2 linked regions of the Alligator mississippiensis genome follow. The protein of the gene in region 1 purifies or fractionates together with the protein of each later gene. This does not show direct contact. Links are inferred from orthologs where the notes say so. Each region holds a gene or a part of one and is shown on either strand. Other genes may lie near its edges.

Region 1 (7,032 bases):
TTCATTGAAATAATATTTTAGATCACTTTAAGTGTGTAAAACAGCCATTGGTTTTTAACTTTCTATGAAAAAGGCAAAGTTTTTTGTAGTAACTTTTATTGGACCAGCTGTATAGTTGGGAAAAATGATGGACAAGGTATCACTTTCTTAAGGTGTCACAAAAAAGGTATCACTAAAAACTCCTCGGATCAGGAGTGTCTGCTTTAATGTGCTTTCTTAGTATCAATTTCTGGAATAGAGTTGCTCTCTAGAAACTGGGGATTTATGTTTTTGCCTATGGAATTCTGAAAGGAGTTCCTGTGCACCTGTTTGACAGTCTCTGTTCAAGGATCTAGGCTGACAGTATGAGTAAAACAAGCTACACTAAGGACTGGCTAGACTCCTTATCACCAGGGATCCTGGTTTTTTTCCTCTATTAAAAAAAAAAAAATCCCCAATTTTTGGATATAAATAAGTAACCCAAAATCCACATTTTTCTGTGATTTAAAATGAAACACTACTGTATGTATGTAGAGAGAGAGAGAAAGATCTACCTTTATCTAGATGTAGCTATATATAATGGTGTTTCATTTTAATGATGGAAAAATGTGGATTTTGGTTATGGATTTTGGGTTACCTTTTTATATCCAAAAATTGGGGATTTTTTTCTTTTAAATTGGAGAAAACCAGGATCCCTGTTTATCACTTATTTCTCCTTAACAGAAAGCTGACCAGCTTCAGAGCCTCAAACCAGCCCAGAAGTCAGTGAACCTGACTTTTTTGTTGGGTAAAAAAACAAAAAAGTGCTAATGATAGTTAAAGCAGTTTAAAAACTATTCAGTTTTCTCTTCCTTCTTCATCAAGAAGCTACTTTTATCTGTCTGCTCTGTGAATTTATTAAAAATTCTTTACATAGGGCAAAGCAACAGATGTGACAAAGGAATTTAGAAGGATTCAGAGAAGGGGGAAGTATCATAGAGCCACAAAAGAAACTCAGGGTATGAAGAGATGAATGTGCTTTCACAGGAGCTGTGTGTCTAGTTTACTGTGGGACCAACCATGGTAGGAGAGAGGGCTGTTCTAGATTTTGTGGTTCAGAAGACAAGCCATGAATTGCAGCAAAAGAATCTTGTACAACCACAGACGACTGCCATGAGCATAAAATATGCTCTGAAATGGTGAGGATATTGAAGCAGAAAAATGCATACATTGTTTTCTCTAAATCTGTATTTCCTATACTACTAAGTAAAGAGCAGCGTCTTGTTAGAATCCTGTGCAAAGTGTGTGTGTGCGCATGTGAGCACACTTATGTGCTGCACTTGTCATATGCAGATAAGGTTCTTTGGGTAAATCCGATATCTTTTTTATCAGACCAACTCAAATAGCTGAAAAAATACCTAGTAAGCTATGCTATGCAAACATATGACAAGTGCCATTGTCACTTGTCATAAGCCATTGAAGTAAGCTATAAATCAGAATGTTGCACCTTTGTAGTGCATTCTGAGAAGATGTATGTTTAAATGTGGTGCCCTAGATCAGGAAATCAGGCCATGGGTCCTGGCTCTTGTGAGGTAGTGCTGGGCAAAGGGTTTGTAGCTCAAGTGTTCATTTAAATACACCAAGCCAAAGACAAGTGCCTGCACTTTGTTCAAATTCCGTAAGTTAAAGTATCAGGGTTCTGGTGGTTTGGGATCTGACTTAGCAGCCCTAATGACTTAGCATTCCCTCAGGTGAATAAGATCAATTTTCTGACACTTCTCCAAATAAATGCATGATATTTTTTGTATGTTAGAAGTTGAAAAATTTCCATTCTGTTATAGTTTAGTACTGAACCATTGTGCCGTTTATAAAATGAGGATGGGTACAGTCCAAAAACTTACATCTCTAATTATTTGAAAGCTGTACATTAAGACTTTGGGTTCCTTGCTACATGTTACATATAATTATGCTATTAACTGGTTAGTTACATAATAACTTTAGACTGGCCACATGTGCAAAGTAAGAACCTTCCCCCCCCCAACACACACACACCCACCAGCACCAAACATTATATCACAATTCATTGGTTAATAGCGCAATAATTTTAGACTAGCCACACATGCAAAGTAATTATCACATGATAAAAATGACTATCCAGCTATAAAAAGAGCCAACTGGCTATAAAGTTAGTGCTTGAAAATGTGTAATAACTATAGCTAGTTATCCAGCTTTAATTTGAATATGTTGCAGGGTCCTGGGTGAAAAATAGGAGCACATATTTAGGCACAGGTGAACTAGAAGAGGATTTTGAAGTGAGAGAATGGAAAAAATATTCAGACCATCCTCCCTAAATTAGGGGAAACTTTAGGGTATACAAATTAGGTGTGCTGGAAATTTATTTTCTAAAAATTGCCCACAGGATATGTTCTCAGTCTCTCACAAACAACTTGTCTACTTAAAGCATGCAAAAAGTGTTGTGTTAGGCAACAAAAGATAGCATATTTTCTCACATACAACTGAGAAGAATACACATATTGGCTTTGAAAGGCAAAATTAAAAGAAAAAGATTTTTTCCAGTTACATCTGCATAAGTAGAGATGGAGCTTAATCTTCAGAAGACTGAGGCATTAAGTCAGTCAACTCCCTCAGCTGCCTCAAAAGTAATGTACAGTAAAATTCCTGTTACCCTGGCATGAGTAGGGAATGCGGAGGGGAGCAGGGGGGGCCGCACATGGAGCGGCTGTAGTGCAGGGTGGGGGGTGGCGGTGGCAGCAGCCGCATGCAAGCTTTCCCCCCTGCACATGGCCGGCCGGAAATTCCAGTTAATAGTGTTCCAGTTACTCAGATGTCAGATAACAGGGATTTTACTGTAATAGCTGCTACTCTGTGGAGCAGGAATCGAAACAGGCTGCACTTATCCTAGTCAGCATATCAGCTTCCCTTCTTAATTTGTGCACCCCATTTTTGGGAGCTGATTTTGGGAAAGGAGGTGTGGATTGTATTGGAAAATACATGGTAATACATTTTAGATTTTTATCAGTTTTCTGTTTTTTGATCCTTTAAGGATTGTAGTTTCAAAAGTTATTCTACAACCTTTTATAACCTGAAAAATGAGAATTCATATAATCTCACTACTCTTGGAGCTGGAGCTCCAATATTATGAGGTAGTTTGGTGATTGGGATCTTGTGTCTATCCATTCATGTACATTGGGAGCTGGATGGGGGGAGCAATGTATCATGTATCCATTAGTAAGGCCCAGAATCCACTAGCAGCAGTCATCCAGTGTAGTTTTTTTACTCCATAAGTGACCTCATTCACAACTTGGTTTTTGCAGCAGGGTAAAACTAGAAGGTGTAAGCAGTAGCTTTGTAGAATCTTGTTCATGTGGGCAGAGGAAATGATCAGTATTTTACTTCAGTCTGGCCTTCCTAAACAAAAAGAAGAAAATGGTGCTTTTAATACATACCATCAGTTATTTTTAACACTTAGAAAATGTGAAAATGTGGACACCATAGCTTAATATAATCAATTAACTATAATATATGATTCTGGTAAGACTGCATCTTAATCCTGTGAGGGAAATGGAAAACTTGTCCTTTGTCTTTTTCCTGTAATTCATTTATTTTTAGATACATGGATAATAACCAGTTTTTTTAAATATTACCTGGTTTCTGATTTTTGTCTCTGTCATAAGGCAGACTGTATATTTTAATTATTTCATCATATTTTTAGTTTTTAAAAAAGCTGTTGAACTCCAAGTTTAAGAAAAATATTAACAGCTCTTCTAATCATCACCTTCAGCTGATAGGAAGAGGTTTTTGCTAAGAAAAGCTCCATAATGTGCAGTTTAATATTAACAGGAAGTAGAACAGAAGTAGTGGTTTCAAAACACTGCATACAGGAAGTTTGACACATGCATACTTCTTAGCTTCTGTGTAAGTTGTTCAGCTCCTTTTAGATGTTTTGTGTTGGTTTTTTTTCTGGTTTTTTTTTTAAAGTAAGTTGTCAATGTATATAGATGGCAAGTCAGAAGGAACTGGCTTGTAACCAGTGCACAGGAACAACTACAGCTCTACAGAGACTGGAAGGCTTTGCTAATCGACTTTTTCATAGGCAATCTAGGGGTGCTGTTCATGAACAGAAAGTGGCTCTGGAAGATGAGAGCCATCATTTCTCTGAATTCACTGCCTTGTGGGACAGATCAAGTAAGTGCTTTTAGACACTTGAGGTTCATTTTGCATAGTAGTATGAGGAAATTTGCAAACAAACATAAATATGCAGTATAGAAACTACCATATAATGCAGCAATCTTTTCATAGCTTAACAGTTAGAAATACTACTTTAAAGAAATAGATATTTTATCATGCAGGTGGAAACATGGCATTGTTTCAAAATATTGGGTTTTGGGGAGGAGAGTTAGTTGCTTGCAAATTCCCTTTTCTTCTAGGCAAATGTTGTTGACTTGCTGGAATTTTTTGCAAACTTTTTTTCTTTCTGGCATTTGTTTGTCATTTCTTTCTTTAAGATGTAAATTTGCAAGCAATAATTGATAGCTTTCCTGTTTTAAAAAATGTTCAGGTGTGTTTTGGTGTTTAAGGTAGGATTTTTTTTTAATTCTGAAATTTTGGAAAGGAAGGACATTATTTTATGTTGATTGGGTCATTAAGTAGAGGGACACTTGTCCCTTGTAGTGCAGCTTTATTTTTAACTGAAATTTAAAATTCATTTTAGAGTGCTTATTAAAACATTAAACATCAAAGCAGTTCAGTGATTATTATTATTACAGATTGTTTCACTCAACTTTGATTTATAACTTTGATTATTGATACTGTTATTTCATAATTGTTCATTTGTACTGAGAAAGGGGTGTATTTATCTGTGTTACATAAAATGTGCTTGATTAAAATGCACAAAACTTGATTCCAACAAACATCATCAGTTAAGTAAAAATAATGCTGCTACTTTGTACATATTTACTTAAATTATTTGTTATTAGAAATGTACATACTTATCTTTCATCCCCATATTTCTGAAGAAGTGAAGGTGAGATCTTTTAAAGATTTCATAGTCCTAGTAAATTATAATGACATAAGTCTAGCTCTTACATACTTGCTTCTATACAATACTTTTGTATATAATTAAGCATGTATATCTGCTCAATATTACTTTATTGTAAGTAATGAATCATAATCTACACATTTTATATATTGCAATATGGTCATGGCATTTAATTTCATATCTGAATTTGCAATGAGTTGGAATAACGCAAGCAGTTACTTCTATTGAAAATAACAGACATAAGCAAAATGTGTGCACTTCCTAGTATTATAAGATCTCTGCAGAAAAACATGCCTGTTGTGAAGCTAAAACGTTGTCATTAGTGAGTGGTCCAACCTTAAAGGGTGTATATTAAACATGGAAAGTGGAAGGTGTTTCATATACCTACACTAGATGCAATCTATGTTTCCTACCTGAGGTACAGAGAAAGCACCTGGTTTTATGAGACAGTCAGCCATCAAGGAGAGTAAAGGGGAAACTGCATTAGGGAAACTGCATGACTTGAGACCCCTGAAACATTTCAGCGCAGCTTTATACATAATTTGTAAACGTATTTTTTCCTTTTCACATCAATTTTAATGGGTTTCTTTAAAATGGAACTTTTCCCTCTCTGTTATTGCACATACGTGAAAGGCCTGGTTAGAGATGTATGGGGTTGGAGGTGGCTCAACAGCACTAGTTCTCAATATTTTTAGACTCAAGGTACCTCTTGGGCAATACCCTACTCTTGGCTTTTGTTTGGGTTTATTTTTGGGGGGGGGCGGGTTGACTGCAGAAAAATAACAGCAATTCTGTCGCAAAGAACTCAGACCACAATATGTCAGAATGTTTCTTATTCGAATTCTTGGGTTTATCGTGTAGATTGTGTGTAGATGTTTGCACCCTTAACAGTGCTAATACTGAGCAGCACCCCATGATATGCTTAAAAGGATCCTGTGGTATTCTGAGATTGGCTTAACCTTTTTGCACTGCAGGCCAAATGGGCAGTGCCTGGTCTGTCCACAGAGACAAGGGGACATGGCCAGCTGTGCAGAGGGCAGGGGTGTGGTCTGGCCCCTATCCAGCTGTACATGGGAGAGTGAGGGAAGGGAAGGTGGGGTGGCCCAGCCATGATCCAGCTTGATCCAAATCCTGGACAGGCTCCAGTCTGGCTGCTCATGGCTAGCCTTGCCAAATTTCCCAACCCTTGGGGAGCCTTGCAGGCCTGATGCCATGTCTGCAGACCAAGGTTGGCCTGTGGGCTGGGGGTTGAGCGCCCCTGCTCTACAGGAACCATGCTTCTATTGAGCAAGGGAAGCAGTGGGGAGACTTACGGCATTGATTCTAGCGTCTGAGTTCTCTAGGGCAGGCAGAATCCTGATATTTTTTTAGATGGAAGGATAGTCTTGTCATTAATGCAGAAAAATTGGGAATGAAAAAAGATAGGTCCATTTTGGGCTGCACCATGAATTTTACATGGGAATAACTACGTCATTTAAACACTTTCCTGCTTTCCTTGTGAGGCTTAGTTTGCTAATGTATTTGGTAGGCTCAGATGCTCTGGAGATAAGTATAAAGCCCTATCTGCTTGACAGAAGAGAAGATTTGGAGAGAGATGGTCTAGAATATAATGAAGCGTTGAGCCCTAAGATCCCTAAACATTTCTGTATCCTAGTCCACGAAATCTACATGTTTTCACACCTTGACAGGGGGTGGAGAGGAGCGGAAATACATTCAGGAGGCACAATTTAAAGTTTTCAAGAAGTTGTCCTAATGTTTACAAGACTGAAAAATACTGTAGCACTGTCCTTTGTTCAACTGTATAATAAAAACCAAAACTAAGTATTGGCCTATTGACATCTACAAACTGACCTTTTTGTATACAAGCATTTTTCTTTAATTATTTAAGGCAATCTCACTTGCATGACTTGTTTGAAGAGGAAATGGAATGTCGTGTCTGTTGATGATAAACATAGTGAAACATGCTTGTTCTTCAAGGGCTATTTTAAGTAGCAATTGTGCAAAGTGGTTGCAAG
Region 2 (7,822 bases), on another chromosome or scaffold:
GATAATAGAGTTTTTCAATACAAATTGCTGCTACAAGGATTTAGTATAATCTCCTAACATGTACTGCTAATTAAGATAAGGCTAAACAATGCTAATCTGATTAGCGGAGGGCAAGTTGTTAACTACTTCAAAATGATAATTTTTTCCCCCCCCTTTACAACTCCATGGTGTTACCGCAGATTTTGTAATGCAGACATCCCAGTTACCATCATAGCTCTTATTGATCCATTTGATCGAATGCATCTTTTTGTTTGATCCAAAGGGGTTATCTCATTGTAAAATGCACATCCACCTCCATTTAGGGCAGTGCCTTTCTTAACAGTGGGCCTGTTGATTTCAGTTCAATAGCAGGGGACAGCATGTGTTGAGAGATGTTGCAGGGCGTATGCTATACTGGCTTATATCATTTAGGTAGTAAATGCTCTGCCTAGTGGCTCTGTGGCTGGCTGTCGCTACTTTAATGCCACATGACAAATATTGTACACCGTAGTTCCTTATTGTTTATGAACCATTGGGTCATGTTGGGCATCAAGATGAATGTTACTCTCTGTGACCGATCACCTTAAGAAGAAAAACAATTTCTACTGATTAGCTGATTAGTCTGGCTACCATTTAGCAGATGCAGTTTTAAAACTACCAATCAGTCCAGAAAGACTGAGACGATCAGGTCCCGTCAATACCACGAACTCTCACTAAGACTCAGACTCCAGTTGCATAGCCTTAGAAATTTCCACCTGTTCCCGGCTAAGAGATTAAGTGTTTTTACTAGTCATTACCAGGCATTTTCCATTTGGTCTGTGTTACTGTAACCCCGGCTCCATTTTGAATTTTGTACACATACCGCAGAATGAAAGGTAAGATCAAGGTAGGAAGGAGAAGCCTACAGCAGAGTTACTGGCACTCACTGGTTGGGAAACATAGGGCATCACCTGAATTTACAGGCTAGTATTTGGCGTTTAGGTGTTTCAGAAAGAGAAATTAATTCCATTTACAGAAAATGGAGTAACAGGATGAAACGGGAATCCAGAGTGATAAGGTAATAACAACAGGCAGGCTCACATACTGGTGCTGATTCCAAGCCTGTGCATTGAGGAGGTAAGCATCTTCTTGACACAGTCCAGATGGTTATGGTGAATAAGTGTAATCCAGCACTACAAACATAGAGGAGAAAATAGTCTAATAAACAGACATGGGCTGATCCTGTAGACTGGCCCTAGGCAGCCTTCTCTCAGAAAATGGGGTACATTTGTATCTTACAGACAAACTAGAGATGCATAAACTTTAATAAGCAGTAGCTTGCTTTATCAGATACTGAAATCATCTCTGTCCTTATGCTATAGGTAATGCTGCATATTATTAAACTGAAAGTATTCATTTTTTCATTGTTGACACCTGGGGGGACTCCTGCCTTGCTCCTTCGTTTAGTTGGGATGATAGAAGTCGAGTCATCAGCTTTCGCTATACGATCAGTCAAGCTAGTGGTGCAATATTTAGATTGCAAACACTGCAGGAGAATGTTTAAATCCTACCAAAAAGATTCAACTAATTCATTAAAACTATAAAAGCATGTCAGTCAAGTTTTGAAAAGCTTATAGAAGAATAACACAATCCAGCTTTGGGATCCAAAGTACCTGTTCTGCACGGTATCAGCTGAAGTAGTCAAGGGAGGTGCTGACAAATGAAAGCAACTGGCATACAGTAACACAGTCCTGCCTGTATCGTAATAGAAGACAGGAATCCTCGGACACATTAGGTCTCCAATAGAGATAACAAATATGGCTTACTGCTATGTAAACATTATTAATAAAGGTAGGACCAAGATGAGAGAAGGGATTGTCCAGCAGGTAGGATGCCAGTCTGGGCTTTAAATAACTAACTGCATTCTCCTAAGGTCTGCCCCTGACTCTTTGAGGGACCCTGGACAAATACACTGCATCCACGTTGTGAACATAAACTCGTTAAAGACTGTGAGGCATTCACTTAGCGGTGTAACAATGGCCAGGTGCCTGGGGCATTGGCCACACACGGGGGTAGTGGTGACTTCTGGTCATTGCTGCTGCAGGTGTGATCATGCGGCTGCTGTGACAGCTATTTTTTTCTGCCCCTCCTGCACTCCAACCCCATCCCCGGTCAGTGCCAGTTTCAGTTGCCCTCCTCCAGACGCCACTTTTATTTACTATGATGATGAGGCCTACATAAGTGCCTCAGATAGAAGTTTCCCCTGGACTTAATCTTGAAAAGTGTGACCCAATCACCAGCTCTGAATTCTAGAGATTAAATGTCAAACCAAACTAAGACGTGAGCCTGTGCCAGTGACTAACTCGCAAATCGTACAGCATGGCTGTCAATGCGTTGTTCCTAACGAAGGAAAAAATGAATTGGGCATACATAGAGCATTTCACGCGGTTTACATGGAAATATTGTATGGGGTTAGAATAAAATCAAGTTTGGGATACTACCCTTGTACAAGCTGATACAAATACCATTCAATGGTGAAATTATATATAATGTTAAAATATGGCATTTCATAATGGATTGTCACTTTATTTTTAAGATAAAATGATCCATTTGCAGAAATGTAGCGTGGATGTTTCTGGAGTGGATCATCTTAAAAACAGGCTCTTACCTGAATACAGTTGAAGGGTATATATTTCCTAGCTGCTTGAAAGCAGCAGTAATGGAAATTGCACACACATATTGAGGAAAGAGAACACCCCTAGGGCGATAAAACTCGATCTAACAATACACTGCATGGTTAAGTATACTACTCTGGCAAAATACCAATTCTTTTGTAGCTTTCATCTCGGCATTGAGCAAGCTTATGCATTTAATAAACTTATTTCAGGTGGTATTTTCAAGGTTGATTTGTTATGATGGACAGGATTCTTGGTTTTAGATCCCTGAATTATACATTTTGCTTTTAAAATAACAAGAAACTTAAATCGTGAGACTAATTCTATCCATCATACCTGCTTACCTACCTATTTATCGGTAAATGCATATTCCAGATCACTAGTACTTGAGCACCTGCTGTTACACATTTTATTTGAGCAGACAATACACTTTCTCACAGGCTCCCAAGCAGAGATGAAGTAGTGTTAGAGCAGGGGAAAGGCTCCCCATGGCTTCATGCTGTTTGCATTCATTCCCTTCCAAACCCATGTCCTGTATTTCAAGGGAGTCAAAGGACAGGCCCTAATTCTTCTTTTGTTGGCAGGCTCTGTTTGACACACACACAGGCCTGCATAAGCTTGACCCCGCAGTTAAATGCATGGGTTAGTGCAATGTGGATGGCCATGCCCGTAACCCAAGGAAGATGCAGTGTGTCCAGATGAACCAATGCAGCTGGGCTGTGGGTGGGAGCTGGGGCTCTGCTGGTCAGAGGTGCTGTCCCGCACCCCACCAATTCCATTCACTTCTGCCAATCTTGGTGCTCGAGGCCTTTGAAAGTCAGGCCCTGTGCCGCCCACTCTTAGAAGCAGGCATTCACCCAATAGCCTCAAAAAATGGCCAGCTGTTGCTAAGCCAACCTAATGTGGCCACCATTCCCAAACCCGGGGCTGGCCAATCTGCCACACTTATGCCACAAGTGGCAGAGGCATCCCATGTGCAGGGCACCTGGCTAGGAGTTGCCAGCCCTGGAGTCTCCAGGATTGAGATATAATCTTCAGGAGACGGCTGAGAGTCACCCAGGAGATAAATGATAGAGCATTCATTAAAATAGATATTAAATGTCAAATCCAATTTATACTGCAGTCCCGTGGGTTTTTACAGTTTTAAAAAGTAATAGTAACATACATTTGTTTTCCTGAGTACAGTAGATCAATCATTCATGTCTCTGCATCGTGTGATGAAACCTCCTGCGATAGATTCAGACAGAGCTGGAAACCCTGCACCTGGCAGATGGAAAGGGAGCAGGGAGCAGAAAGCAGAGCAGCAGATCGGGAAAGGCCCACGGGGAAGGAAGCAGAAAGCAGAGCAGCAGATCAGGAAGGGCGGACAGGGAAGGAAGCAGAAAGTAGAGCAGCAGATCGGGAAGGGCGGACAGGGAAGGAAACAGAAAGCAGAGCAGCAGATCGGAAAGGGCGGACAGGGAAGGAAGCAGAAAGCAGAGCAGCAGATTGGGAAGGGCGGACAGGGAAGGAAGCAGAAAGCAGAGCAGCAGATCAGGAAGGGCGGACAGGGAAGGAAACAGAAAGCAGAGCAGCAGATCGGGAAGGAAGCAGAAAGCAGAGCAGCAGATCGGGAAGGGCGGACAGGGAAGGAAACAGAAAGCAGAGCAGCAGATCGGGAAGGGCGGACAGGGAAGGAAACAGAAAGCAGAGCAGCAGATCGGGAAGGGCGGACAGGGAAGGAAGTAGAAAGCAGAGCAGTGGATCAGGCACGGGAAAGGGAAGGGAGTGGCACTGGGGGGACAGCCTGCGGCAACTGGTAGCCCCTGGTGACCTAGAGGATCCCTGAGGGCACCGCCTGGTGATCTGACACAGCCCCCTAATTATATCCACTTTATCCGCAAAGATGCCCTGTACCTTCTCCCCGAACTGCGCACCACGGGGCCCTAAATAAAGATGGCGGCGCCCACACACATGTTCTTGTCCTAACGACGCAACACAATGCCCTTAGTAAAGATGGCACCTTCTTAACCAGCTTCTATTGCAAACTGACGGCTGCTCAGACTCCCCGCCTTCCTTCCCTCACTCAAGATGGCAGCTGCCCACACTCAACTCCTACCCCGCTCACAGCCCAGTTGGCATTGTCCACCCCCGTCTGCCCTCAGTTAAGAGGGCGTCCGCGCGCGCTTCCGCAGGCGGCTCCCTCAGCAAAGATGGCGGCTTTCCCCATAGATGTCTACGGTGCCCTGGTGCCAGGCCCTCCTGGGGCGGCTTCAACGGCTTCACGGTCAGGGCCACAAGATGGCGGAAGCAGCTGCAGCCGTTTGAATTCCAGCGGAGCCGCCAAACTCGCACAATAATAACCGGGTACCGCCGCCGCCATGGACTCGCTGCCGGGGGACGACCCTACGCTGCCCCTGGACTTGGGCGGCAGGTAGGAGCTTAACCGCGGTGTCACCCCCTCCTCCCCGCGTGGCGCCGCGTCCCGCCGCCCGCGCTGACCCGCATCTCTTTCTCCCTCAGCGTCAACGTGGCCGACCTGCCCGACGTGCCCGGGGATGCGGCCCGGCCCGGCTCGGCCGGCAGCGCAGGTGAGCGGGGGCTGCCCGGACACCCCCGGGAAAGTTGGCGCGGTTCCCGCGGGCCCGCCCTGCCGCACACACGTGCACTTGACGCGCGATAGAAACCCGCGCGGGCGCTTTGTGTGCGACCCCGCAGCGGGTCGGCTCTTCTCTTTAAAACTGGTCCCTCATTTGTTTTCATCTCCTGCCACCATGACTTTGTGCGGGTGGCCGGGGTGCATTTATGGCACTGAATGGCGTGGCAGATGCTTTGTGCGGGCGACGGGTTTATTGTGCGATTCACCAGTGATGTGCACGAGGGCGCCTTTGCGCGATGCATGTATTGCATGTTTATTGCCTGGTTCCCCAGTGAAGTGTGTGATAATTATTTTGCACGGGAGGCAGGGGCACATATATGGCACGGTTTGACAGTCAGTTGTACGATTACGTTGCACGGATGGCTGGTCTACATTTATGGCGTGATTCAACCGTGATTTGTGTAATAGTTTCTTTGCATGGGTGGCTGGTGTACATGGCTTGCACAGTTCATCAGTGGATTACACAATAATTACTTGTTATGTATAGTATGTTTGTGTTTCACCAGTGAGTTGCGTGGTGATTGCTTTGCATAGGTGACCGGTATACACTTATAGCGTGTTTCACCAGTGAGTTGCATGGTGATTGCTTTGCATAGGTGACCGGTATACACTTATAATGTGTTTCACCAATGACTTCCACGGTAATTACTTGCATGCTTGGCCAGTGTACATTTATAATGCTTTCATCAGTGGGTTGAGCAATGTAGGCAATGTGTAGCAGGGGTTTAACATTCATAGCTGACCGCTGATTTTTCTTTTTCATCTAAATTGCAACTTGTTTCGGTGCTCTGTTTGAAACCCAAACCTGGGGAGACTCTGAAAGTGAAACTGCCCACCCACCCGAGTGCCACTGAATGCATTAGCCTAGCGGGGAGGAAAGGCGCAAGCTTAATGAAGCACCTGGATGCTCACGAGTTAGAGGGTTTTTACATTGTTTCCTAGGCAAAGAAATCTCTATTTATGGTGCACATGTGCGTTTGCCTACTTCTCTGGCCTGCCCCAATGGCTGGGAAGCAGCAGAGAAGACTTGCTATTTCTGTAACAATTTGGGGGCCTTCTTAAATCCAGCCTGCTCTCTGTTATCAGCAGAAGTTATGCATCTCGTAGAAAACCATAACCAGTGGCAAGGAATTGTCACTCAGATTACAAGGCACTATTTACCAAACAGATAACGTGATGATGGTGATGATCCCTTTTCTAAAAAGCCAGAAAACCTTCTAAACTCGAGCTACTCCTGCAGATACTAGTATTAGTCCAAAACATTTATGTTTCCGTTGCCATTAAGATCCTGAGGACCAGGCTCTGAACTGCTTGGACTAACTAGCACTATTGATGGTTCACTCTTAGTAATTTTTTTTTTAGAAAAATGGCATTAAAGTTTCATGCAGGGCTTTCCAGCTGCAGCCTAGTTAGGTTGTGAGAGTTTTGCTTTCTGTTGTGGCTGAGTCAGCACCTGCTCCATGTTCCTTTCTAAAGGGAAAAGAAAGTCTTTCCATAAAGTTTTACTGCCCTGTATTGATCAAGGACAATAATTTATCATCTTTTGCTTTATTGTGACCTTGTGGTGGCTGCCAAGTTCGTCTTATTGCAGGTTTTAGAGAAAATATAGCCTGATACATTGCTTTTGAAGCAAAATGGATGTATCCTATTATTTTGTGAAGTGCTGTTTGCACAGTTATAACAATTGTGTGCGTCTTGGACCATATTTCTGGTCCATGCGATTTGGAGGCTGGTCTGGCCACTGTGTATTTGTGCAGTTAACTAAAGTGTGTTGTAGATGTAATTTCAAATAGCTACTGCTGCTCCATTATTAAAGCAATTTATGTATACTTATCCTGGGAGCATATTAAGGTTATGAAACAAAAATACATTCTGAAAAACATGCTTGAATGGCAATATAGCTGTGGCTGTATTCTCTTAGTTGTTTTAAGAATGATGTCTCATTAGATTAATCACAACTTCAGGATTTTAAGATCTCAAAAGCGAGCATTTCCAGGGGTTTTTCAGACTGTTGTGCATATATAACTGTGTATGTAGAATTATTCCAAGTTGGAAGATACTTATTTTTTCTTTTAGTAGCCACAAGGCTGAATCTAGGACCTCAGTCCTTTCTGTGGTCTCTGAGTTCTACCTTTTCTCCTTGGGTTTATTTATTTTAAGATGCTACATTTTGTGTGTTGTTTTGATTTGTTTTAAGCATTTTTCTAGAACTAATTCCCCCCGGCCCAACCTGTTGTTTTTAAGATTTTATGCAGAAAAACCTTGGATGCAAATGCTGCACTTTGTAATATTGACTTGCAGAATTGGCTATGTGGAAATGGCACGTTTTTTAGTAGCGAGTTACCCATTGTTTGTCTATGGGTATTTCTTTGCTTCATTTTCCAGCATGCAAATGTTGCACTGGTGAATCCCCTTGGCATCTGCTGCTTTGAATGGGTGTTACAGGTATAACTGGGACGTCTGACCCAGGGGTGTGCATAGGTAAGCTAATGCAACCAAAACTTAGCTACAAAGCCTGTAGCTAAGATGAAATGGATTAATGCATAATGTA

What was found.
Region 2: the proteins of PRKACB (region 1) and CDK5RAP2 purify together in Homo sapiens (affinity purification with mass spectrometry; 4 studies listed by BioGRID and IntAct, counting the BioPlex papers as one, with this or other methods). This does not show direct contact. The link is inferred for Alligator mississippiensis from reciprocal best matches to the Homo sapiens genes PRKACB and CDK5RAP2.

Annotation. Positions count from the first base shown.
Region 1 is NC_081828.1:27,864,987-27,872,018, forward strand, and holds the start of PRKACB (cAMP-dependent protein kinase catalytic subunit beta), read left to right. Parts: upstream 1-3,962; 5' UTR 3,963-3,977; coding exon 3,978-4,164; intron 4,165-7,032. UniProt on the Homo sapiens protein: Mediates cAMP-dependent signaling triggered by receptor binding to GPCRs.
Region 2 is NC_081835.1:56,638,212-56,646,033, reverse strand, and holds the start of CDK5RAP2 (CDK5 regulatory subunit-associated protein 2), read left to right. Parts: upstream 1-4,778; 5' UTR 4,779-4,993; coding exon 4,994-5,046; intron 5,047-5,135; coding exon 5,136-5,203; intron 5,204-7,822. UniProt on the Homo sapiens protein: Potential regulator of CDK5 activity via its interaction with CDK5R1. Negative regulator of centriole disengagement (licensing) which maintains centriole engagement and cohesion. Involved in regulation of mitotic spindle orientation.